7 linked regions of the Mus musculus genome follow. The protein of the gene in region 4 purifies or fractionates together with the protein of the main gene of each other region. This does not show direct contact. Links are inferred from orthologs where the notes say so. Each region holds a gene or a part of one and is shown on either strand. Other genes may lie near its edges. The genes, in order: Gtpbp4, Hnrnpu, H1f10, Npm1, Parp1, Rpl5 and Ddx21.

Region 1 (3,500 bases), on a different chromosome or scaffold from region 4:
TTAGGATGAAATGTTTTATAAATATCTGTTAGATCCATTTGGTTCATAACTTCTGCTAGTTTCACTGTGTCTCTGTTTAGTTTCTGTTTACGTGATCCTGTCCATTGCTGAGAGTGGGGTGTTAAAGTCTCCCACTATTATTGTGTGCTTTGAGCTTTAATAAAGTTTCTTTTATGAATGTGGGTGCCCTTGCATTTGGAGTATAGATGTTCAGAATTGAGAGTTCATCTTGGTATATTTTTCCTTTGACCTGTATGACGTGTCCTTCCTTATCTTTTTTTGATAACTTTTGGTTGAGAGTTGACTTTATTCAAATATTAGAATGGCTACTCCAGCTTATTTCTTGGGATCATTTGCTTGGAAAATTGTTTTCCAGCCTTTTACTCTGAGGTAGTGTCTGCTTTTTCACTGAGGTGCATTTCCTGTATGCAGCAAAATGCTGGGTCCAGTTTTATGTATCCAGTCTGTTAGTCTATGTCTTTTTTTGGGGAATTGAGTCCATTGATAATTCCTGTTATTTTTGTTGTTAGAGGTAGAATTATGTTTGCGGGGCTATCTTCTTTTGAGTTTGTTGAAAGATTACTTTCTTGCTTTTTCTAGGGTATAAGTTTCCCTCCTTGTGTTGATGTTTTCCATCTATTATCTTTTGTAGGGCTGGATTTTTGGAAAGATATTGTGTAAATTTAGTTTTGTCATGGAATATCTTGGTTTCTCCATCTATGGTAATTGAGAGTTTTGCTGGCATTTGTGTTCTCTTAAGGGTCCGTATGACATCTCCCCAAGATCTTCTAGTTTTCATAGTTTCTGGTGAGAAGTCTGGTGTAATTCTGATAGGTCTGCTTTTATATGTTACTTGACCTTTTTCCCTTACTGCTTTTAAAATTCTTTGTTTAGTGCATTTGGTGTTTTGATTATTATGTGATCTGGTCCAATTTATTTGGAGTTCTGTAGGCTTCTTGTATGGTGATGGGCATCTCTTTCTTTAGGTTAGGGAAGTTTTCTTCTATAATTTTGTTGAAGATATTTATTGGCCCTTTGAGTTGGGAATCTTCACTCTCTTCCATGCCTATTTTCCTTAGGTTTGTCTTCTCATTATATCCTGGATTTTCTGGATGTTTTGGGTTAGGATCTTTTTGCATTTTGCATTTTCTTTGACTGTTGTGTCAATGTTTTCTATGGCATCTTCTGTACCTCTTTTATCTTTTGTATTCTGTTGGTGATGCTTGCGTCTATGACTCTGGATCTCTTTCCTAGGTTTTCTAACTTCAGGGTTGTCTCACTTTGTAATTTCTTTATTGTTTCTATTTCCATTTTTAGATCTTGTATGGTTTTGTTCATTTCCTCGACCTGTTTGTGTTTTCCTGTGATTCTTTAAGGGATTTTTGTGTTTCCTCTTTAAGGGCTTCTAGTTGTTTACCTGTGTTCTCCTGCATTTCTTTAAGGGAATTATTTATGTCCTTCTTAAAGTCCTCTATCAGCATCATGAGAAGTGATTTTTAGATCTGAGTCTTGCTTTTTTGGTGTGATGGTGTATCCAGGACTTAGTATAGTGGGAGAATTCTGTTCTGATGATGCCAAGTAACCTTGGTTTCTGTTGCTTATGCTCTTGTGCTTGCTTCCTGCCATCTGATTATCTCTAGTGCTACCTGCCCTCACTATATGGACTGGATGGAGCCTGTCCTTCCTGGGATTCTGGGATCCTGAAATCCTGGGTGTGTCAGAGCTCCTGGGAGTCAAACTGCCTCTGGGATCATGTGGACTTGGGCTTGTTAGAGCACCTAGGAGTGGAGCTTTTTCTGGGAGTTGTGGGACTGGCTGTGGAATTCTCGCCAAGGTCTGCTCAGGGCACCGGCCCAGACTGGAAGGAACACAACAACACATTTTCTTAAACACGGAATTCTCTCTCTAGCCCCTCCTTATTTTGTTGTTGTTCTTAAACATCTCAATAAGATACACATTTTCAGAACATTAACATCAATACTTCTTTCGTAGTTATTAGATTTTTTTTTCTACAGAGAACTGGCAACATTCATTTCTAAAATACTTTAGTGTAATTTTCCTCTGTATTTTCATGCTTTTGTTTCTGTTTGCTTTCATTTCTCTTCTGAATAGAAGTTTTGTGTGTGCTGAATTTATTTTTTCCTGAGGGAGGTGTGGTTTATTACTTGTGGGCCTCGTATCATGGGGTTGTCGTTGGTCTCAACTAGTTACTGAATTTAATGCTATTGAATTTTAGACATACCTAGGTTTATGTCTGTTTCTCATTCTACTATTTTCCTGTTTGTTTTTCTTACATGTTTTAGGATAATTTTTATTCTTTTCCAAATGAACTTTAGAATCAATTTTGGGGTTGTCTTGTCTCTTGCCCACTCTGGCTCCAAAACTCAACTCCCCAGAATACATTTTATTTCAGTTGGTTTGGGTTGTTTTATGTCTTCCTTGCAGATTGCCTTTGTTTTTTTGTGTTTGGTTCCTTTAAGTTTCTCTCATACTTGGGAATGCATTTCATATACTTTAAATGATGTCTTCTTAGGAGAGACCCCCTTTCATCCCAGAAGGAGTGATAGCTCGAAGGAAGAGAATGGAGATTGAAGAGCCCAAGAAGAAGAGGGTAGGCTACTGGACCTCTTTGTCTGGGTTTCTTATGAAAAGGGATAGAAGGCCTGCCTGTGCACGAGAAAAAGTAATGCTGGGTGGTGGGTATGTAACAGAAGACAGGGCTTTAGCCACTCGAAGTGGACTTGATTCAGGAGATGCAAACTGAGTGTACCCAGGGTTGGGGGTTGGGCTCTCCAAGATTCAGGGACACAGCAGTGAATTCTTAACATACTCTTGAATGAAGCTTTTCATTCAGTTGATGTTAGATTGCAGTAAACAAAGTCCATGAGATACATAGTCCACTAGGTAGGCAAGAACAGCCTTCCTGATAGGCATAGATGCATAAAGGGTCAGAGGCTGTTTCATCGGTAAGGAGGTTGCAAAGCATCTGGGGACATAAAAGCTAAAACAAACTTTTGGGGATTTTCTTGCAGGAGCGAGATCTTGAGCTGGAAATGGGAGATGATTACATTTTGGATCTTCAGAGTAAGTAAGGTGTTTTGTAATGTCAGTTGTATGAAAAGAGTTTCAGAAAAGAAAGGAACTCAGTGAAAGTCTCCCAGTGAGTTGATTGGTTTATAAGCTTTTGCTTTTTTTCTTTAAAGATTTATTTTTTTATTTATATGAGTACACTGTCACTCTCTCAGACACACCAGAAGAGAGCATTGGATTCCATTACAGATGGTTGTGAGCCACCATGTGGTTGCTGGGAATTGAACTCAGGACCTCTGCAAGAGCAGTCAGTGCTCTTAACTGCCAAGCCATCTCTCCAGCCCCCAAGTTTTTACTGTTTTGAAGATTAGAAGTTGCAGACTTGAGGCCCTTGCCTTGTGAAGATTATATGCCCCAGTACATGGGGAATGCCAGGGCCAGGAAGCAGTGGGTGGGTTGGGAAGTGGGGG
Region 2 (4,203 bases), on a different chromosome or scaffold from region 4:
GGGTTTCTTTGTGTAGCTCTGGCTGTCCTGGAACTGGCTTCATAGACAGGGTGGGGGTGGGGGTGAGGGGATGGGGGTGGGTGGGTGGGGTGCCTCTGCTTCCTGAGCGCTGGAGCCAAACTTGGGTGTCACCACTGCCTGCCTGGCTGACACTGAATTCTTGATCATCTTACCTGTATCTCCCAAGTGTTGAAATTATACACATGTACCACCAAGCATAGCTTGGGTGCAATCTACACAGGAAGGCCCCAGTGTAGAAATTAAATTCTATATAAAAGTTTCAAGAACACAACATATTTAATGCCAGAAAACAAATCATAATTTTTTTTCTTTTCTTTTTTGAGATAGGGTCTGGTATTCAACCCAGATAAGCCTGGAATTTACTAAGTAGCCCAGGCTAGCTTTTAACTCTTGATACTTCTGCCTCACTCTGCCAAGTAATAGAACTACAGGTGTTTTCTTTTTTTACTAAATCCCAGCCTTTTGTTACTACCAGTTTGTAGACAAGTCAGCAGGTATACAAACATGTTTAGAGTGGCTGAAAAAACAGGGAGAGGATCAAAGTGCATAATCTAGCTGGGTGCTGGCTGTCTTCCTCATCTGTAATTAAAGGGTCTCCAAACTGGTGGATCAGATTTGCAGGGGACAGAGGCCTATCTTTATAGTACAACGAGGGGAACTTCCATGAAAATCTAAGGCTTACTCAAAGGTCAATAGAAAATACGGTGAGTAGCAACACAAGGCCCGCTCTATATGGCTGTTAGGCATGGTGGAGTACAGCAAGCCTCTTTCCCAAACCTTGCACCACTGGTTGGGGAAGAGACAAAAGAAAGGCTCTGGCCTCGCCCTTGCGGAACTTAAAATAAGTCCGACTGGCAAGGCAGGACTTGTAAAATTTAAAAACGCAGTTAAATGGTGGAAAAACTAAACAAAACACCACCTTTGCATAACAATCGCCTATGGGTGTTCTACAGGGCAGCGGTGGAAACTTGAAGAGTTTTTTAAACCTAGAGCCGGAGGGACAAAAAAAAAAACAAAAACCAAAACAAAAAAAAAAAAACCCAAGAAACAACAACAAAAAAAACAACCCGAAAACCAAAAAACTAAACTAAGATGGAAGAAAGGAGGTTGTTCTCGAGTGGAAAATGCCAGGTGAGGACTGAAGGCGGGTGGAGGAGAGCCTCCGCCAGGACACAGAAGGCAGAGCGCCGGTGGAGCGCGGCGGCTCAAGAGCCGGAAAGGCCGGCGGCCACTGCGGCGGGTCCGTTTAACCGAAAGGTGGCTTCTAAGAGCCTCCATTTGCGCGGTCCGGCCCAGCGCGGAGGTCGCGCAGTGGGGGCGGGGCGGGGCCTGCGCGCGCAGCCGCTCTAGCGGGCCTCGCCTCGGCAGGGGGCGGGGCGCCTATATTACGTGCGCGGCGCCGCCCCTGCGAGAGGACGTTGCGTGCTCGCTCGCGCCGGGCGAGTCTCCGCGTCTTGCCTCGCGAACTCGGTGAAAGGAATTGGCGCCGTTCGACACCAGGCGGGTCCGTTCTGCAGCAGCACTCAGCCATCTCCAGCCGCAGCCGCCGCCCGGGCCGACCAGCAGCAGCCGCCGCCGCCACAGGCCGAGGGAGCCAGCAGTCAGCGGGGAACCGGGGCCCTCAACATGAGTTCTTCGCCTGTTAATGTCAAGAAGCTGAAGGTGTCGGAGCTGAAGGAGGAGCTCAAGAAGCGGCGCCTCTCCGACAAGGGCCTCAAGGCCGATCTCATGGATCGACTCCAGGCCGCGCTGGACAACGAGGCAGGAGGCCGCCCCGCCATGGAGCCCGGGAACGGCAGTCTCGACCTAGGTGGCGATGCGGCCGGGCGCTCGGGAGCGGGCCTAGAGCAGGAGGCCGCGGCTGGCGCCGAAGACGACGAGGAGGAGGAGGGCATCGCCGCTCTGGACGGCGACCAGATGGAGCTGGGCGAGGAGAACGGGGCGGCGGGGGCGGCTGACGCCGGCGCGATGGAGGAAGAGGAGGCAGCGTCGGAAGACGAGAACGGCGACGACCAGGGCTTCCAGGAGGGGGAAGACGAGCTCGGCGACGAGGAGGAGGGCGCGGGCGACGAGAACGGTCACGGGGAGCAGCAGTCCCAACCGCCGGCAGCGGCGGCGCAGCAGCAGCCTTCCCAGCAGCGTGGTGCCGGCAAGGAGGCCGCGGGCAAGAGCAGCGGCCCCACCTCGCTCTTCGCGGTGACGGTGGCGCCGCCAGGGGCGAGGCAGGGCCAACAGCAGGCGGGAGGTAAGAAGGCGGAAGGTGGCGGGTGAGTGTTGCGTGATGGGTGCGCGTGGCGGTGGGGACCGTGCCCCAGGCCTGCCGGGGCCCCTCGGGGCGAGCGCCGCGGGAGGGTGGGGGCGGGGGAGCCCCGGGAGGCTCTGCTCGCCATGCCGGCGGCGCCTCCATTATGTATGTCGGGCGCCGGGGTGGGGGGAGCGCTGCAGCTGCCGCGGTGGGGGGGCCGGCCGGGCGGGAGCGCCGGCCGCTGGGGCGCTGCGTGCGCGCGGTCCGGGCACATGTCGGCGGTGGGGGGAGGGGAGAAGCCCGAAGGTCCCGGAGCGGGCGGGCTTTGGCGGCTTAGCGCCGCGGTATTGTGCAAGGAGCGCAGGGGCTCGTGGTGACGTCACTTCCGGCGGCAGGCGCGGGGAGCGGGGCGGAAGCTCAGTACAATGCGGCGGCGGGGCACGCGGGCTCGTGTGGGGGAGGGGAGGTGGGCCCAGGCTTCCCCCCCCCTCGTTTGAGCGCGGCCGGCGCACGTGGGCCCGGGCGGTGTCCCGCTTTTTTTTTTTTTAAACTCTTTTTAAAAAATGCTTTCTGGAAGGTTGCGGTAGGCTGGCAAGTTCAGTCTTCAGACTGCGTCACTGTGTCCAGTCCAAGTCCAGACTTTTTTATTTTCATTTGTCGATTAAAAAAGTCAAAGAATCAGTCAGAAAAAAATAATCAGTAACAGCTCTTGAGGCTCGAAACACAAAAGGTGCTTAACTGCATTATTTAGTTTTCGGCCTGATGCTTTAAGGCGGTGTTCTGTGTCGTTATAGGAGACGGCAAAACAGAACAGAAAGGTGGAGATAAAAAGAGAGGCGTTAAAAGACCGCGAGAAGATCATGGCCGAGGGTATTTTGAGTACATCGAAGAAAACAAGTACAGCAGGTAGAGGCTCCTCACCCAGTTTTAACAGTCGCCCGCTCTTTTTGTATACAAGGTGGGGAAAGCTTTATCAGGAGACAATTCTGTCTTTCAGAGCCAAGTCTCCTCAGCCACCTGTTGAAGAAGAAGACGAACACTTCGATGACACAGTGGTTTGTCTTGATACTTGTAAGTGAGGCGGACTTTCCCGCTCTTTGCTAGTTTTCAAGTGCAGTGTTAACATTGGTTTTAAGTGTTAGGAAAAATGTGTTGATCTTAAAGTGGAAAAAACCAGTTAAGAAACTTATTTTAAAGCAGGAAGGTAGTAGCTTAATGCTCAGGCTACAGTAGTTTAATATTAATACCACTTCAGTTGTATTGATTTAACAAGCTCTAGTAATTGGTAATATTTACGAGTTGAAACTTCTCAGTACTTGGGGGATGTAAAACTAAATAATTTTTGCTCGGCTATCAGAAACTTGTTTTTTTAAAAACCTGCCTGTAACTTGTCCTTAGATTACATGATTTAGTTTTTTCTCGTGGAACTATGTTAAGTGAGCTATTTGGGCTAGTTGAATACTTACTGATTTTCCCATTAGCACACAAGTGTATTCCCTATTCTAAGGATTGTAATATTAACTTTCAATAACTGCTCTTTTGTTCTCAATTCCAGTTCAGTAGCTGCTGCTTTAACATAAGTTGATTTCTTCCAAAGACCTGGGGCAGCAGCAGTGGGCTATCTGAGCCACTAGCTTTCTTCAGCAGCGAATGGTATCAATGGCAGCACTGTAAATATGCTACTTAACCCAGTTGGGTTGCAATTGAATATGAGGAAGTATTGCAAACCATGAAATGGGCTTTAGCTGTCAGATTTGTATTTTTATCCTTTAAAGAAGTCAGTTTAGTATTTAATAAGAACATATCTTTTGGTGTGAGCAGAACAAAAAAAGTACAAATCAGTGCTTAGTTACAGGATTTCACTTGGTAGAAGGGGTTAAAAGCTTGGATTCTCATGTTTTCCCTGTACAAATTGTTCAGAGCCCTGAGAGTTAAGT
Region 3 (2,991 bases), on a different chromosome or scaffold from region 4:
CTTCAGCCAGGTACCAGACATCCAAGAGGCAGTGAAATGCCCACTTTGGGCAGCTCAGTCTGCTTCATGATCACACCTGCCAAGAAACACTGGTCCCTTCCCACCCTCAAGACACTGCCAAGACCCAAAAAGGTGATACAGGGAAAGAGCACCATGTAACCCTCCCCTAACTCGGGTTCCATCTCACCCTACTTGTATGTGTACATACTGTTCAGAACCTTCCTAGTCTTCCATTTGGTAAAACTGTCCATTATGTTGCACTAGATCCTGAGGTTTAATTTCCAACATGTAGAAATCTTTTATCTTTTATATGCTGGACACTGCAGCAACCCAAGACTGGGAACCCACTTTTACAAGAGTTCTCCACTGGGCAGCTGTCTCTGGGCACATCTGTCCCACCTCTGGCAGCGCCTGCTAGTTGTCTAGCTGGTCTTAATGACCCTCGACTCCCCCGCAGGAACCCCAAGCAGCCTCCAGCGCCCACAAGACAACGACAATGGTCAAGGTTGGAACCGTTTATTGCGCCCCAGGAAGGCAGCGGGCGGAGCAAGGCGCCACACAACCCAAGCGCCTGGTGGCCATCAGCGGGCACAGTAGGCAGGCGCCACCAGGCCATTGGCGCCGCCGGGCCGGTAACCATGGCGACGGCCGTTGCCAAGGGTGAGAGCCAATGGGGGCGTCGCCAGGGCCGTTTCAAAAACCTAAAGCAAACAGAACGCAGCATCGCTGGGGGAGGGGCGGGGGAGGGGACAGGGATCAGGGACCTGGGCCAGGCGGAACCCTACGGAACCGGTACACCGAGGGTGGGGGGGGCGGATAGGGATAGAGACAGATGGAAAACTCGACGATGTCGCCAGACCGTAGGGGCGTCACTTGCGGCCCTTGGGCACCTTGGGCACGCTGGGTTTGGCCGCCTTCTTCACTTTCTTCGCGCTGGCAGCAGCCGCCGCCTTCTTGCTCTTGTGCGCGCGCCGCTCCGGCTGCGGCCTGGCGGGCGTTCTGTCCGCCGCCGCCGTGCGCGCCTTGGGCGCGGGGCTGCTGGCCGCCGAAGCTCCGCGCCGCTCCGCGCCGCCCTCCAGCTTCTTGCGGTTCAGCTTGAAGGATCCGTTGGCGCCGGTGCCCTTCACCTGCAGTAGCGTATCGTTCTGCACCAGCGCCCGGATAGAGTACTTGAGGTAGGTGCGCCCGTTCTGCTGGTCGAACCATGCCACCTTCCTGGCCTCAGCGTAGATGCGCGCCAGAGACGAGCCGCCGCGCTCCCCCAGCTTGCGGATGGTCTCCACCACCAGCTGGCTGTACTTGCCTGGCTGGTTCTTCTTGCGGTTCTTCCTTCTCTTGGGCTGCGTGGGCGCCGCAGAGCCGCCGGCCTTGGCCGTCTTGCGGGCCGTCCCGTCGGCGCTCGTTGGCGGCAGGGCCTCCTCAAGCTCCACCGACATGGTGGCCAGCGGGTTGGCGGCAGGCGGCGCGCGGTAGCCGGGGGGCCGCGCCGGGAAGAGGAAGGCGAGGGGCCGCGGCGGCGCCGGGGGACTGGGGGCGCGCGGCGGCTCCAGGCGGGAGCGGCCGCGGCCGGGCCTGGGACCAGGCGGCAGGGCTGAGGTGCGGGCGGGGGCCGGGCCGGCCGCGGCGGGGCTGGGGGGGTGGGATGCGGAGAGGAGCCTGCGGGGAGCGCGGCAGCACTGCGCGGGCTCCGGAGCTCTGGGCGTGCGCGCTACGCTCTGGCGGAGAGCGCGCCCCGCTCCGCTTTTATTTCCCCGTGGCGGACCACGTTGAGAACAACAACAGCCTGGGCCCAGTCCAGCGCCAACTTGTGCTTCTTGGAGCGCCTTCCGCGGCCACTGGCTCCTCCGCCCGCGGCTCCCGGGCGCGGCTGCACCCTCAGCAGTGTGCCCTGGACAGCATCCGAGCCCGCTGCGCTGCGCAGAGGCGGCCTGCGCCTAGGACGGGCTCAGCGGAGCGGCTCAGAGGTGTGTACCCCAGGCTATAGGAGCATGGAGGAGGGGGGCGCTCGATTTGCAAAGGATTAGCACGGGCCCCGGGCGAGACCCCAAGACCGAGAACTTTGCAGGCGGCAGACAAGAGTGCTCCTCAGGCACCTGAGTTGGTTCTGGGCCCAGGGGACCACAGCCCTGCCCGCAGGAAGGGCATTAATTTGTCCCAACTAACACAGGGTACGCCCTCACGCGGCCGACAGGAGCAAGGCAAAGCCCGAGAGCGTGCTGGGGCGGGGGTCTTCTCAGAATCCTAAGGGGAACCAACAGAAGGGAATTGCCCTGAGGTTGCACGCCTGGCATCTCAAAGATGAGTCAGTGCAGGCACGACCACAAGGGCCTCTCCCTAGACACTTCCTCACCACTCTCTGGCCCCAAGTACCCCATTTTGTGATGCTTAAGTAGCCGTCCCTGGACCCCTCAGAATTAGATGGGGGCTCCAGGATGGAAAAGTGTAAGGTTACCCTTAAGGCATTTCCCTTAGAGGGTGTGGCAGGGGATTTGGCTTTTGAGGATCCTGCCGGCTTTGGGGGATCGAATACTGCATCACTTGGTGCGGGAGGACTTGAAGGAGGTGGTGGTACAGAGAAGGACCTGAAAGCCTGGGAAGTAGTCCAACGGTGGAGAGAGGGCTGTGCAGGCAATGGCCAGCCTGCGGAGGACATAGTAGACACCACTAAAGCGTCCAGGCCAGCTTTGTTCCAATAGGTAAGCAGTTCCCTGGCCTCTTGGGTGAAAAGAGGGAGTGACTGCCTGTAGATCAAGAAGGCCCAGATTCTCAGCCTTTCAAACTCAGTACTCGTGGGTGTGCCAGCCTCCCCGCACCCCACGACCTCATCCCCATCAAAGGAAGGATCGTCAGGAAGTGGCCAGGGTTTAGCAGAGCCCAGAGCCCAAGTCATCCTCTTGTGACTCGTTCTCAGGAGGAGGGCCAAGGGGCCTGTGAGTTTTGAGGGACAGCGGGCTATAGGGTGCAGGCTCTCCTGGACTCACTACCCTCTTT
Region 4 (3,500 bases):
CCAAAATGGAAAAGACTTAAAACCATCAACACCGAGATCAAAGGTAAGTACCCAACAACAGACCTACTAAATTCAGTGCCTAAAAAAACTTTGTGCTTTGTGGTACTTAACCTTGCCTACATAATAGACTATAGTGCACACTAAGATAGCCCAATACATAAATTTGTGAAGTGTGTCATGTTCTGTGGTGGATTCCAAGGTTGACTTATTTTGTAGACTTGTTGAATTCTGACCTGTTATAGCTTTCACGATCTGGGTGGTGTGTGTGTATTTGTAGAGGTCAGGAGTTGTCTTAAGAGGCTTGTCAGGATTGATTGACTTTATTTTGAAGCATCTCTTCCAATCTTTTACTTTAAGATTTATTTATATAAGTACACTAGCTGTTTTTCAGACAGATGGTTGTGAGCTACCATGTGGTTGCTGGGAATTGAACTCTGACCTCTAACTGCTTATGCATCTTCAGCCCTCTAGTCCTGACAGGCTTTCTAGCTAGGAACAATTAGCAACTTCTCTGTGCTCTATAAGGGATTTTAGGGAGGAGGGAAATCTTGGTAATTACTTTGTTAAGAACTGTACTAATAATCTTTGAAAACTTTTTCCAGGGTCAAGAGTCCTTCAAAAAACAGGAAAAGACTCCTAAAACACCAAAAGGACCTAGTTCTGTAGAAGACATTAAGGCAAAAATGCAAGCAAGTATAGAAAAAGTGAGTAAAATTAACCTTTGAATATTAGAAATTCTACTAATGTGGGAATTTGGGTTAAAAGTAGATTATAAGTAAGAATATTCATAAATTACTCCAATAAAATGTATAAGGGTACTTTTTTTACTGGGGTTATGCTGTAGAACAAGCAGAGGGTGTTTTGTTTTCAGTAAAATTAAAAACAGCTGGAAAAGTAAGAGTAAAGTGGTTGGCTGCCTGAGGTTATTTTATAGCTAAGAAAAAAAGAATCACCTTTAAGTATTTCACAACAATTTGAGTTATTTCTGTGCCCTCTGTTCCAAAGCTCCCTCAGTCCATGACCTGAAATTTGTGTGTGTGGCTAATAGGCTTTCATCTAGTTTGAAATAGAATTTATCTTTCTTGGCATTTGGCTGGGACTAAATACATTTATATAAACCTGGGTTGTGTAGAATGGAATAATACAAATGATTTTTTTTTTTTTTGGAGAGCTAAGTTTATCTCCATTATGATTCTAACATGTGAATTACTTGAATACATGTGGAATGTTATGCAGATTGCCCATTCTTTTTCCTATTTTTTTCCTGTCTTGTAGTTCTCACATGGCTTCAGAAGATTTTCTTCCTTTGTGCAGCCACAAATGGATTGGAATTTAGCACTTGGCAGCACATTTCATATTTCTTATTAAACTGTAAACTTAAGTTTCCTGGTGTCACTGATTTATTTTTTATCCCTTGCATACACTGCTAAAATGATGCCCCTCCCCCCCATTTTAATGTGGTCCTATCTCCTTGGTTTAATTGCAGGCGCATTGAACATTCCTGGGCACTACTGGTAAATTAAGCCCAAAGATGGGGAAAGAGGAAAAGGAGAAACAAATATAGTACCATCAACAATCCAGACATCTCAATCCCCTTTCCTGATTGGCCATCCATTCCCCCTTGCAGGCTGGAAGCAATCTTGTTTTTCCTAAAGCATTTTTCTTTTACTTTTGTGATGCAGAAAACTACTTCTCTACCACTTGTGCATATGCCTCATTTCTTTGACCATGTTTTAACCTTTGTATCCTTAGCTACTCTCAATAAATTTTTAAATGAATCAATAAGGATGTATGTGACAATATTTTCAAATTACCGTAGTGAATTATTTTCTAGGTGATGAAGGCAATTGAGTACCTTAATACTCAAGGTGATTCTGGAATTTGGAAGCCTTAGTCTTGCTAAGTGCATAGAAATGCAAAAAGGTTAAAATTTAGAGAAGTGGATTTTATATGAAATAGGGGATAATCTGTAGTGACACTTTATGCTGATAAGTTAACATTTGCATTGCAGTATCTTAATTTGTAAGAATTTTGGCAGCAAAACTTGCTGATAATTGTGGTTTAGTCTACATTCATAATTGGAAGCATGCCAAATCGATGCTACAGTTAGTAATAAGGTACCTACTTTTAAATCCCTTCAATTGCGTGCTTTCCTAGGTAATTGGAAAACACTTATGAACAGGTCGTATCTAATTTGTTTTTTGGTGATAGGTGATAACATGAATTTGTATATTAGGCACCCAAGTGGCTGTACTTGCATGCCAGTAGAGCCCTCTGTAGTTTAAATTGGCTGTTTGGAAGGAACTGGGCATTAAGCAATAAAAAACCATGGTCTTTCTGGGTTTGGGCCCAGAGTTGGTTTTTTTTTGTTGTGTTTTGTTTTTCCAAGACAGGGTTTCTCTGGCTGTCCTGGAACTCACTTTTGTAGACCAGGCTAAACTCAGAAATCCGCCTGCCTCTGCCTCCCAAATGCTGGGATTAAAGGCGTGCGCCACCATGCCTGGCTTTAATGTTGGTTTTTAATCAAATGGGAATGTTAAAGGGTTATAGTTTGTGTAATGGCATGTAAAACTTTGGAAGTTTTTTCTAATGATGTCTCAAACAATTGCTGTTTGTCCTTAATAATGCTTTTTTTCCCCTCAATAGGGCGGTTCTCTTCCCAAAGTGGAAGCCAAGTTCATTAATTATGTGAAGAATTGTTTCCGGATGACTGACCAGGAGGTAACTGAATTTTCTGTGGACGTGACCAAATCTAAAATTTTCATTGATTTATTATGACTTTTAGTCTCAAGTTGTTGGCTCCTTGTAAAAAGTTCCTAACCACAGACAGTACTTAAATACATGGAAAGAATTTAATTGGCAGACTGAGCAAATAATTTTTTAGTGCACATTTTTCCCAGGTTTTAAATAGTTGGTAAATTATCTCTTGGTTACTGAACTTAGTTTTACTCTTAGTAGTGTATTGGCTAAGGAAATAGGATATGGTTTTTATTTGCTCCATTTGGCTGCTTTACAGTCTGATGATACTTGGACTCTTGGAAGTGGTAGTATCTTCTCCAGATAGCAAAGGAGGGTAAAATTGGTAGAATCAACCTAGATGGGTTAAAGCCTCTTGCATGTCAAGTTACTGTTATGTTTATTGTGGTATTAGGATACTTGGGCCATGCAAGGGCAAAGCACTACCAGTGATCTCTTCCCAGTGGTATGAATTTACAGTGTTAAATAGTAAATATAATGGGTTAATGTTAGACCTTCTGAATGAACAGTTGATTTAATTGGTTTCATCAGTATTGGCTATAGAGGTGTCTATTCAAAAAGAATTAAAAGGAACAATATAGCAGTAGAGTATTAAATGATAGTATTGCCTATTTAAATTATAGCTCCCAGGTTTGTAGTCAAAAGTGGTTAGGATTGAGGCAGACTGTCAATGATTGGAAGTAGTGATGTCATCAAATTCAGTCCTTTCGTGTTAGCTACAGATTGACCTAAGTTTTAGAATT
Region 5 (3,500 bases), on a different chromosome or scaffold from region 4:
AGCTGTCTTCAGACACTCCAGAAGAGGGCGTCAGATCTCATTATAGATCTCATTACGTCAGATCTCATTACATGGTTGTGAGCCACCATGTGGTTGCTGGGATTTGAACTCAGGACCTTTGGAAGAGCAGTCAGTGCTCTTACCAGCTGAGCTGGTTTTGTATCAAGTGCACCATTAGGGAGTACTTCTTGGTGTCCCCAGTTTAGGGCACCCAGTCTGGGGGTGGTAGGTGTTTGTTCTTGTAGAGCCATAGCTATAGGCTGAGGCAGGCGGCATAAGCCATTTGCCACAGGGGTCGGGGATCTGAAGCTGCTGATCCGATGGAGTGTCTCGAGCCAGAAGCTGAGTCCGCTCAAAAACACCATTTATTATCTGGTCTAGGGGCCATCTTTGCTGCCGGTCCCCCACCTTCCTCCTCTGCCTGACTGGGGACAGATTCTGTCTCAGTAAAACTGCCCTGAGGGCAGCAGTGGGCGGGGCCTTGAGGCACCTGAGGAGGCTAGCAGGGCGTCTTCCTTTCAGGAGCCTGCCCGAGCACATAATTCCTATTGGGTCACCTAGGCAGATCTTGCCTTGCTTTTTAAAGTTTTTGAATGAGTGTCTTGCCTGCATGTTTGTCTGTGCATCTCCTACCTGGTGCCAAGAGAGGTCAGAAGATGTCAGATCCTCTGAAACTGGGGTTACAGATGGTTGTGAACGACCTTCTGGGTGCTAGGAATAGAACCCAGGTCCTGTAGTGGAACAACTTAGCCACTGAACTGTCTCCTTAGCCAACTCTGCCTTGCACTGTAATGTAACTAAAAGGAGGCTGACTCTAACCTGAAGCTTCAGGGGATCTCTTCAATACTGCTTATGTGTTTTCCCTCTCTGCCCTTTGAAGCAGCCCTAATGAGCACTCACCTCAGTGGGTCAGAAGGCAGTTCGTGTCAAGTAGCTCTTCTGAAGTTGGGGTGGGGGAGAACTCAGTATCAGATTCTTGTCCCATTCGCCTCACTGTGTCTCCATTGTTGCCACCATCTGTGAGCTGCTGCTGCTGTTGCTGCGGTGTTCCCAGAGGAAACTGGGTTAATGTCGTTGTCTCCCTCATCTCAGGCTGTCACCATCTCTAAAACAGGCAACCCTGGGTGTAGAGCCTCATAGGCGAAAAAAGTGGCCCAGTGCCTTTACCTCAGGCACATTGGGGGATCAGGTGCCTCCCTGAGGCCAGTATTCAGCCTATCTCCAGGCCTGGAAGCCTCTGCCTCAGGCTCCTTGTTCCCCTTGCAGAAGCCGTTCCTTCTATGCACCTGTGCATGTATGCCTTGCTGTGTCTGACACTCTGCTGACACATTTTCTCTGCCTGGTTCATTATCTAGGTCCCGTTCCTTATTATTTTTAACCACAGAGGTACTTAAGAGCCATTTCTGGGCCATCCAGACCCTTGAGTTCAAGTGCTGCTTCCTGGCTCTTCTAACAGGTCTACGGGACACTTTAGGAATTCTGTGTGTCACACCAGGCTGTGCAGTAAAGTCAGAATGTGGCACACACAAGGAACCGGGGTTACCCTGTCATCCTGAGATGGATTTGGGGGTGGCCAGCCATAAGTTTTAGCTTTTAGGAAAATACCCAGGATGAGAAGCCAGAAGCTGTTTCTCATCCATTTGCCAGTCACCATGTGACCTGAGAGAGCATCAGGCAGCCTCTGTTGCTGCCTGGGCTGGGGGCAGGATTGTGGCCTGCATGGAGACTAACGACCCCTCACCTCTGCTTTATGTTCCTTAGTCACCCATGTTCGATGGGAAAGTCCCACACTGGTACCACTTCTCCTGCTTCTGGAAGGTGGGCCACTCCATCCGGCAGCCTGATGTTGAGGTGGATGGCTTCTCTGAGCTGCGCTGGGATGATCAGCAGAAGGTCAAGAAGACGGCCGAGGCTGGAGGCGTGGCAGGTGTGTGGCCAGGGGTTCAAGCGCTCTCTCTCTATCTGCTGAGTTGCTTCTGTGGCTCCTCCTCGGGCCGTGTTGACTCTTGTGTGAGGTTTGGTGTCTTATCTTCCAGATGATGGAAAGGAAGACTTTAAGCTTGCATGGATTTTTTTTTTTAATAGGTTTTAATTTTTTATTTTATTAGTTGTGGGTGTATGTGTGTGTATGTTAGTGCATGCACACGTGTGTGGTACAATATGCATGTGGAGGTTAAAGACAGCTTTACTGGGTTGGCTCTCTCCCACGGGCTCCAGGAATTGAACTCAGATCGCCAGGTTTGCATAGCACGTGCTTTAGGAAAACTGAGAGAAACACGAGAGCAAAGCGCTCCCATAGCCACCCCACCCCCACCAGTGCGTCTGATAGAACCTAGTGGGGAAACCCCCACTCAATTCCCGATTCGGTATGCACCCAAGAATCACGAACGGACGACCATCTTGATGTAAATACATGAGGACGTTTAATTACAGAGCTCCGGACCGACATGTATCCCACACAGGAGATAACGGATGTAAAGCTAGGGGTTTTTATGGGGTGAGGGGCTTAGGGGTGTGGAATTCAGCATAGCGACACACTATTGGCTTATTCTAACATTAACAGAAAGATTACATGTCAGCAAAAGGGCATCAGAACTTTGTTCCTGTGGGCTGGGGGCTTATCTTGTTCACATAGCAACCAGTTGATGTATGACTTGGCGTCGAGGGGCAGTAGACAGAGGGGAGGTTCCGGCCAGGTGGTGTTGACCCAGACAAGATAGCCCTGTTTGTCCTGCTTTGTTCTCGGCCTCAGACCGAGGGCTCATAGACAACTCTTTCACATGAATCACAAGTTACAAAATCTCATTTTCTTTCACATTGATGTCCTTTGCTGATGGTGTGTGTTCTGTGGGCTTGGATGGATGGATGGATGGATGGGTGGGTGGATGGATGGATGGATGGGTGGGTGGGTGGACGGACGGATGGATGGATGGATGGACGGACGGACAGACAGACGGATGGGTGGGTGGGTGGGTGGGTGGGGGGGTGGATGGGTAGGTGATGTACCTACCACTGATGACTTCCAGGTCCTGTACACGGATGGTACCCAGGAGGAAACCTCTGCCAATTCCTTCCTCCTTCTTGTTTGGTTTTTTGGTTTTTCGAGACAAGGTTTCTCTGTGTAGCCCTGGCTGTCCTGGAACTCACTTTGTAGACCAGGCTGGCCTCGAACTCAGAAATCCGCCTGCCTCTGCCTCCAAAGTGCTGGGATTAAAGGCGTGCACCACCATGCCCAGCTCCTTCCTTCCTTCTTAAAAACAAACAAAAAACAGACCTTCGGCAGGCAGATCTCTGTGAGTTCAAGGACAGCCAGTGATATATAGGGAGACCACATCCCCAAACAAATAAATACAGACTGCAGAGCCAGCATTCCTCCTGAGTGCTGAAATTGCAGGTGTGCGCCTTCAACCCCTGGCTTCTGTTCTGACTTCTAACTTCGTGGGTTAGAGTTGCCTGGGTTTTGTTTCAGGGAGAAAAGGAAATCTATGCGCTTTCTTCTC
Region 6 (2,989 bases), on a different chromosome or scaffold from region 4:
AATTTGTTTTTGTTTTTCGAGACAGGGTTTCTCTGTGTAGCCCTGGCTATCCTGGAACTCACTCTGTAGACCAGGCTGGCCTCGAACTCAGAAATCCGCCTGCCTCTGCCTCCCTGGGATTAAAGGCGTACACCACCACATTGAATTTAATTTTTTAAAACAAACTTGAATCAAAGGTTCCAGTAATGAAATCTAATAAGATAGCTACCACGTACTAAAATTGGCAACGGTATAGTATGTCTCTGGTGCTGGCTTAAAAGGCCTGTCACATAAGAGGGAATATAAATTTGGATATTTGGGATGATAAAAAAATTGTTACCTAGTTTGGTAGGATAACCCCCTCCTCATGCCCTTGCTCTCACTTGTTAGTGTGTCTTTATCCCTGTATAGTTCACATCTTTTAGGTGTACACCTTCTTTTGAAAGAATTTAGGTGAGGCAGTAGACTACAGAGTATGGTATAGTTGTACAAAAATGGGCTTGTAGTTCTCAGGAAAGCATGCAGGTGTTCATCCTAAACAGTGAGATGTAAGGATAAGGGTGGGCTGCACTTGGGGATATAAGGAGGTAATATTGGCTTAGTTAGGATCCTTTGAGAACTGAATGCAGGTGGTACTGTACCTTTAGGGCACATGAAATGAAGGCAAATACTGTTTGCTTTGCTTTCTTCCAGATGGAGGAGATGTATAAGAAAGCTCATGCTGCTATCCGAGAGAATCCAGTCTATGAGAAGAAGCCCAAGAGAGAAGTGAAGAAGAAGAGGTGGGTGGTTTACAATTCTCTAGGAAAGAAACCCGCTGCATCTTGCTGGTCAGATTTCTGTGCACTTGAGCAAACTCGATCACTAGCTCTGCATAATGTGGCAGCAGCTGAGGGAACCAGGTTTGCTAGAGTAATTGTGGTGACAGCAATGTGCCAACCTCAGAAGCTACTGAGGTGCCCATTCTGTTACAGTACAGTCCTGCATGGTTTCTTTTTAGCTACCTATAGAGTAACCTTTCTTTGCCTGCCTGAATTCATAACATTTCTGCCTCTACCTGACAATGTGAATACTGGGCTTGTAGTGTGAGCCATCATGCTCAGCTGAGATAGACTTGAGTTTGATGGCGTAAACAATGAGAATATAGCCATTGCAGTTGAGTACCCGGATTAGAACTTAATGTGTGTACTCAGGTTTTGAGGCATGACAATTGCAACAAGTTCAAAGCCAACTAAAGGATATATAGGAAAACCTATAATATACACACATGCATACACACACACACACACACATCTTCAGATAATGAGATTTTCAATCTATCCAATTACAAAGGTTTTGTCATTTTTTTTTTCAGCTGCACTTGAGAGATATTCCTGTCTTATTCCTTACTTTGTTTTGTAGGTGGAATCGTCCCAAAATGTCTCTTGCCCAGAAGAAAGATCGGGTTGCTCAAAAGAAGGCAAGCTTCCTCAGAGCTCAGGAAAGGGCTGCTGAAAGCTAAAGCAGTTTTCTATGAAGATTTTTTCATAAAGACAATAAACATATTGATCAAGCAGCTTTTTCTGTGTTAAGCTGTTATTAATGAGACTATAGGAAATAGTGTGAAATTACAAAAGCAAAGAAGTAGATAGTTATTTAATTAATTAAATTAATTTTACCTTTTGTGTTGCACCATAACCTACCACTGGTGGGATTAAGGGCAAGTATTACCATGCCTAGCTGAGAGTCTTTCTCCAGGAAAAACCAGCTTACATGGGTTCCTGCAAATCTCATGAGTGTTTCTTGGGTTTCTAGTCTTCCTGGGAGGTGTCCTTATCTTTCAGATTTTCAGATCTGGTAATTAGCATGATCATCAGGACATTTATTACAAACAAATTGATTAGTGGGAAGAAAGTATCTCAAGGTCAATCTTGGAAGTGAACAACTGGTGCTAATCCATGGCTTTAAAGATTTGAGAACAACGGTGAAATTTGGTTTGAGGAGAAGGGGGTGTCTAGGACGTTTCATTTTTATGGTACATGCCAGACATGAATGTACATAGGAAAATAACTTGAAAGGGTCAAATATTAAACCTTGAATATCAGGTTCACTTGGGAAAGCATTAGGTGCTTATGCCTCTTAGTAAATAGCCCTTCATCCCAGAAGGAGCAAGAATTGTCTTCCTGACTTAATCCAGTCTTAGCTGAGGTGCTGTGCATCTTTATCATCTTTGCCTTGCCTCACAGTGTCAGGCTCTGTGGTACTGGGGCTACACAGGTCAGGTAAACAGTTAACTGCTTACCTACATCCCCAGCAAAGATAATGTGACGATACTAAGATGAACCTATCAGAGCTTAAAGATAATGAGTTTCAGTCACAGTGATAACTGCATGCTAACTTCAGCATGTAGAATATATGCCGAAGCTAAAAGCCATTCCACAGTTGACTCCATCTGAAGTTAAAGTGTGTAAGTACACAGTAAATCATGCTATATTAACTGAACTTTTTAATAAATGAGTCATTTGAATTTACCTGTGTGGCATTCTTAATTTGTGTTAATGTGCAAAGTTTTACCATGCTAAAACATTAGTAAATTCATGTATAAATTTCCTTGTTTAAACAGCAGCTTCAATGCAAACAATGTCCGGCAATGGGACTGGCTAACATCTACAGAACACTCACTGTTTATGGAATGAGGATTTTCACAGCATTAATTTTTTTTTTTTAAAGTCAAGATAGTTAACAGTGAATATACTTGTGGACTTGTAAAAGGGCAGGGATGAGTTTTGGACATCTTGGCCCTACACCTGCCATTATTGTTACAACATGCATTTAAGATGATGACTCCACAGGCCTGGGGGGCAGAAGCCACTCTTTAAATGCTCAAAATCATAAGTAGATTCTCAATGATGGCAGTAGTCCAAATGAACTAAGAGTCATTTGTGTAGGAAATTTTCTTCCACAATAACGTTTTTAGGTTATTTAATATCAAAGAATGTTCCATTTCCATTTGATTTGCTGTGACTTTGAG
Region 7 (3,947 bases), on a different chromosome or scaffold from region 4:
ATGCCTCTTACGTTGTGGTGATCCCCAACCATAAAATGAATTAATTTTAGTTGTTGAGGATTTAGCTCAGCTGTAGAGCGTTTGCCTAGCAAGCGCAAGGCTCTGGGTTCAGTCCTCAGCTCTGAAAAAAAAAATTGCTACTTCAAAACTGTAATTTTGCTATTGAATCTTAATGTAAATATTTGATATATGACCACTGGTAAAAGGGTCGTTGAACCCCAACGGAGTGTCGACCCCCTTGAGAAACTTTGGTCTGTAGTGCTTGAGGACAAGCAGGGCTTGGATGTTATTAGAATCCTGTCTGTCCACTCTGGAAGCAGAGGCAGGCGGATTTCTGAGTTCGAGGCCAGCCTGATCTACAAAGTGAGTTCCAGGATAGCCAGGGCTACACAGAGAAACCCTGTCTCGAAAAACAAAACACAAAAAAACGAACCCTGTCCGTCATACAAGAATACCCGGAAGTTTATAAAGTGCACACATGAATAAAGGGCCAGACTTGTGAATTGTGGGTATTTTTTGTTGTTACTTGGGGTCGGGGAGAGAGCTGTTGAGACAATCTCATCATGTGTCGGGCTAGCCTTGAACTATGTGCACCACGCTGGACTCGATAGAGATCCATCTACCTCTGGCTCCTGGGTGCTGAGATTAGCGGCGTGCACCCCATATGCCCTGCCTATTCTGGTTCTTTTAAATTGTTCATATTGTGCAGCACGCATATGCGTGTCCTGGGTGCCACTGAGCGCGTGCACGATAAAACTGCACAGCTGGTTCTGTTTTCCAGGGATCACAAATTCAGGTCACCAGAACTGTGGTATCTCGCCGGTCCCTGAATTCCGGTGCTCACCAAAGCACCTGGGTTTATCTGTCACCACCCAGCCGTTTTCCACAGGTAGCGTACACATCGCAGCTTTTCATGGGAAAATGTTGCCAGCTGGTAATCCCAGACTCGGCAAGCGGAGGCAGCAGGGTAAGATTCAAGGCCGTTCTCCAAGTCTAGCCGTGGCGATCCCGCTGTCGTTAGACCGCGCAGAGCACCTCCACGCCGCACACACGGGTCTCACCCAAAGCCGCGCGAACCGCAGCCTTGCCGGTACACGCTACTTCCGCCGGATGCACTCCGCTGCGGAAGTGACGAATAGGCCCGGCTGAGGGGCGGTCCGCTTTCTCTGTCGCCCTCTCTCCTAGCACGCGGTTGAGGAAGCCGGTAGGCCTGAGAAGCTGCTGCTGAATAATGCCGGGAAAACTCCGCAGTGGGGCCAAGTTGGGCTCAGACGGGGCCGAGGAGAGCATGGAGACGCTGCCGAAGCCAAGCGAGAAGGTGAGCCTGGGGGGAGGGGGGTGTCCCCGAACTGGGCCGGGCCGGGAGCTCGTGGCCGGCCCTCTGACACGCCGTGTCGGCTGGTCAGGCTTGGGAGTGCGGAAGGGATTGCCGATCGCGTCACAGTGCGGACCAGAGCCGAAGACGGCAAAGTCTGAAACTTGCGCACATGGTCGGCATCTGCTGTGACACACAGACACAGTTCCCTCTTTAAAAAAGAAAAGAAAAGAAAAAAAAAAGAAAACCCAAAACAGAAAACGTGGTTGGCTAAGTGATCACCCTATTATATAGAAGGATCTGTGTGAGCACTGTTAAATCGCCTTGTCTCTTCTTAATTCCTTGCATAAAAATATTAAACTTGTGACAGTATCTATCAAAGTAGGAGGGTTCGGAAATTATCCCGGAACTCCTATGTTGTACGACTTAATTGAGTTTTTTTTTTGCTGTCTCTGTTGACTTTGAAGGTAGGAGCCTTTTAAAGGAGCAGCAGTAGTATTTGAATTAGGTGGAAATCACTGGGCGCACAGCGTTCACATCCGCGTGTTCAGCTGCCTGATGCTGAAGTCAGGAGGGAGGGACCTAGCTACGCGTTTATATTCCGAACTCGACTTACTGTTTTTCATATATGTAGTAGATAACATGTTCATGGGGCGGAGAGATTGTCCACGATACAGTATTTTTAAGATGGTTTTTGTGGTACCAGGACCAAACCTTGGGCAGCTCACGTGTTGGCAGGTGCTGTCCCACTGTAGCTCTAGCCCTTAGCCCAGCGGTTCTCAGCCTGACAGATAATCTGCAGATGTTTATATTATGATTCATAACGGTAGCAAAAATTAAAGTAACAACGGGATAATTTTCTGGTTGGGGGTCACTACAATATGAACTATTTGAAAAGTTGAGAATCGCTACCTTAGGCCATGATTTGAGAATTTAGTCCATTATGATTTAGTCTTTACTGCCTGGAACACTACTAGAGTCTATCTAGTAGGTGGCTAATAATCGGTACAAATTTTCCATATGAAAAGTTGCACATTTAAATAAAGTCCAAATAAAGTTTCACAGACGCAAATGATATATGAATTTTTTTGGTAGTTTTGTTTCATATAGTGTCTACGAGAATCCACATTGAAGTACACATTTCTTGAGTGTTTTACCATATAGAAATTTTGGAGGGAAAAGAAACCTGTTGTTGCTGTTATGAGGACACCCAAAGTTTGCTTGCTCGCTCTCTCTCTCTCTCTCTTTCTTTTCTTTCTTTCCTTCCTTCATAGTTACCTTTTGGACAGTGCTTGCTCACTGATACTGTGTGTGTGTGTATGTATGTATGTATGGATGGATGGGTATGCTTGCCCCTGGGGTTACAGAAGTTTGAGGTCAATGTTGGGTGGGTGCCTTTATCACTTATTTTCCCCACTCTCACTCACCCTACCCTCCACCCACAGACAGTTTTTCTTTTTTTTTAATCTTTTTTTTTTTTTAAAGATTTTATTTATTATTATAGTAAGTACACTGTAGCTCTCTTCAGACACACCAGAAGAGGGAGTCAGATCTTGTTACAGATGGTTGTGAGCCACCATGTGGTTGCTGGGATTTGAACTCTGGACCTTCGGGTGCAGTCGGGTGCTCTTACCCACTGAGCCATCTCACCAGCCCCCACAGACAGTTTCTCTATAGCCCTGGCTATTCTGGAACTTGCTCTGTAGACCCGGCCGGCCATGAACATAGAGATCCACCTCCCTCTAACTCCTGAGTGATGGGATTAAAGTGTGTATCGCCACTTCGCTGGCTTGTAGTGATACACACTTTTGGGGACACCTAGGCTGGCTAGCTGCCCACTCCAGCCCCACCAGCTAGGGTGACAGGCATGTGCCACCACACTCATTATTCAGTGGCTGCTAGAGTTTCCTGTCAAACCCTCATAGTGGCAGAGTAAGCATTTTCCCCCTGAACCATTTTTTCCGAGTATGTAGTTTAGAGCCTTGGTAGTCTCTTTAAAAAATTAGTCTTGCCGGGCAGTGGTGGTGCATGTCTTTAATCCCAGCACTTGGGAGGCAGAGACAGGTGGATTTCTGAGTTCAAGGCCAGCCTGGTCTACAAAGTGAGTTCCAGGACAGCCAGGTCTACACAGAGAAACCCTGTCTCCAAAAGAAAAAAAAAAGTTTATAATGATTGGCCAATATGAGCTGAAGACTTAGTTTGAAGAACTCTTTTATTTCCCCCATGTTAGTGACTATTGCAATATACTTCTTTTCATTGTAGCTAAGAAGTGGTATTAAAAAGCGTACGTACTGTGTGACCTTTTATAATTAAAATTACATTAAGCCAGGTGTAGTAACATGACTTTAACTCTAGGAAGTCAGATCTCTCATGAGTTTGATACCAGCCTGGTCCTGCAGAGTTCATTCCCAGGACAGCCAGAATCATAGTTACATCACTCCCCCCTCTCCTCCCTCCAGAATCATAGTTACATCACTCCCCCCTCTCCTCCCTCCAGAATCATAGTTACATCACTCCCCCCCCTCTCCTCCCTCCAGCCCCTTCCATGGAATTCCCACCTTGCTCATCTCAAATTCATGGTCTCCTGTTTTTTTTTTTTTTTTTTTTTTTTTTAAATTCACTTTAAAACTTT

What was found.
Region 1: the proteins of Npm1 (region 4) and Gtpbp4 purify together in Homo sapiens (affinity purification with mass spectrometry; 3 studies listed by BioGRID and IntAct, counting the BioPlex papers as one, with this or other methods). This does not show direct contact. The link is inferred for Mus musculus from reciprocal best matches to the Homo sapiens genes NPM1 and GTPBP4.
Region 2: the proteins of Npm1 (region 4) and Hnrnpu purify together in Homo sapiens (affinity purification with mass spectrometry; 3 studies listed by BioGRID and IntAct, with this or other methods). This does not show direct contact. The link is inferred for Mus musculus from reciprocal best matches to the Homo sapiens genes NPM1 and HNRNPU.
Region 3: the proteins of Npm1 (region 4) and H1f10 purify together in Homo sapiens (affinity purification with mass spectrometry; 3 studies listed by BioGRID and IntAct, with this or other methods). This does not show direct contact. The link is inferred for Mus musculus from reciprocal best matches to the Homo sapiens genes NPM1 and H1-10.
Region 5: the proteins of Npm1 (region 4) and Parp1 purify together in Homo sapiens (affinity purification with western blotting; 3 studies listed by BioGRID, with this or other methods). This does not show direct contact. The link is inferred for Mus musculus from reciprocal best matches to the Homo sapiens genes NPM1 and PARP1.
Region 6: the proteins of Npm1 (region 4) and Rpl5 purify together in Homo sapiens (affinity purification with mass spectrometry; 4 studies listed by BioGRID and IntAct, counting the BioPlex papers as one, with this or other methods). This does not show direct contact. The link is inferred for Mus musculus from reciprocal best matches to the Homo sapiens genes NPM1 and RPL5.
Region 7: the proteins of Npm1 (region 4) and Ddx21 purify together in Homo sapiens (affinity purification with mass spectrometry; 3 studies listed by BioGRID and IntAct, counting the BioPlex papers as one, with this or other methods). This does not show direct contact. The link is inferred for Mus musculus from reciprocal best matches to the Homo sapiens genes NPM1 and DDX21.

The regions. Positions count from the first base shown.
Region 1 is NC_000079.6:8,979,013-8,982,512, reverse strand, and holds part of Gtpbp4 (nucleolar GTP-binding protein 1), read left to right. Parts: intron 1-2,533; coding exon 2,534-2,611; intron 2,612-3,032; coding exon 3,033-3,084; intron 3,085-3,500. UniProt on the Homo sapiens protein: Involved in the biogenesis of the 60S ribosomal subunit. Acts as a TP53 repressor, preventing TP53 stabilization and cell cycle arrest.
Region 2 is NC_000067.6:178,335,016-178,339,218, reverse strand, and holds the start of Hnrnpu (heterogeneous nuclear ribonucleoprotein U), read left to right. Parts: upstream 1-1,403; 5' UTR 1,404-1,647; coding exon 1,648-2,266; intron 2,267-3,060; coding exon 3,061-3,172; intron 3,173-3,263; coding exon 3,264-3,337; intron 3,338-4,203. UniProt on the Homo sapiens protein: DNA- and RNA-binding protein involved in several cellular processes such as nuclear chromatin organization, telomere-length regulation, transcription, mRNA alternative splicing and stability, Xist-mediated transcriptional silencing and mitotic cell progression.
Region 3 is NC_000072.6:87,979,921-87,982,911, forward strand, and holds H1f10 (H1 histone family, member X), read right to left. Parts: upstream 1,563-2,991; 5' UTR 1,437-1,562; coding exon 870-1,436; 3' UTR 501-869; downstream 1-500.
Region 4 is NC_000077.6:33,153,207-33,156,706, reverse strand, and holds part of Npm1 (nucleophosmin), read left to right. Parts: coding exon 1-43; intron 44-602; coding exon 603-704; intron 705-1,486; coding exon of another isoform or gene 1,487-1,495; exon of another isoform or gene 1,496-2,646; coding exon 2,647-2,721; intron 2,722-3,500. UniProt on the Homo sapiens protein: Involved in diverse cellular processes such as ribosome biogenesis, centrosome duplication, protein chaperoning, histone assembly, cell proliferation, and regulation of tumor suppressors p53/TP53 and ARF.
Region 5 is NC_000067.6:180,571,891-180,575,390, forward strand, and holds part of Parp1 (poly [ADP-ribose] polymerase 1), read left to right. Parts: intron 1-1,761; coding exon 1,762-1,927; intron 1,928-3,500. UniProt on the Homo sapiens protein: Poly-ADP-ribosyltransferase that mediates poly-ADP-ribosylation of proteins and plays a key role in DNA repair.
Region 6 is NC_000071.6:107,906,517-107,909,505, forward strand, and holds the end of Rpl5 (60S ribosomal protein L5), read left to right. Parts: intron 1-672; coding exon 673-761; intron 762-828; exon of another isoform or gene 829-960; intron 961-1,380; coding exon 1,381-1,480; 3' UTR 1,481-2,489; downstream 2,490-2,989. Other genes in the region: Dipk1a (divergent protein kinase domain 1A), read right to left, coding at 2,888-2,989.
Region 7 is NC_000076.6:62,599,499-62,603,445, reverse strand, and holds the start of Ddx21 (nucleolar RNA helicase 2), read left to right. Parts: upstream 1-1,147; 5' UTR 1,148-1,231; coding exon 1,232-1,318; intron 1,319-3,947.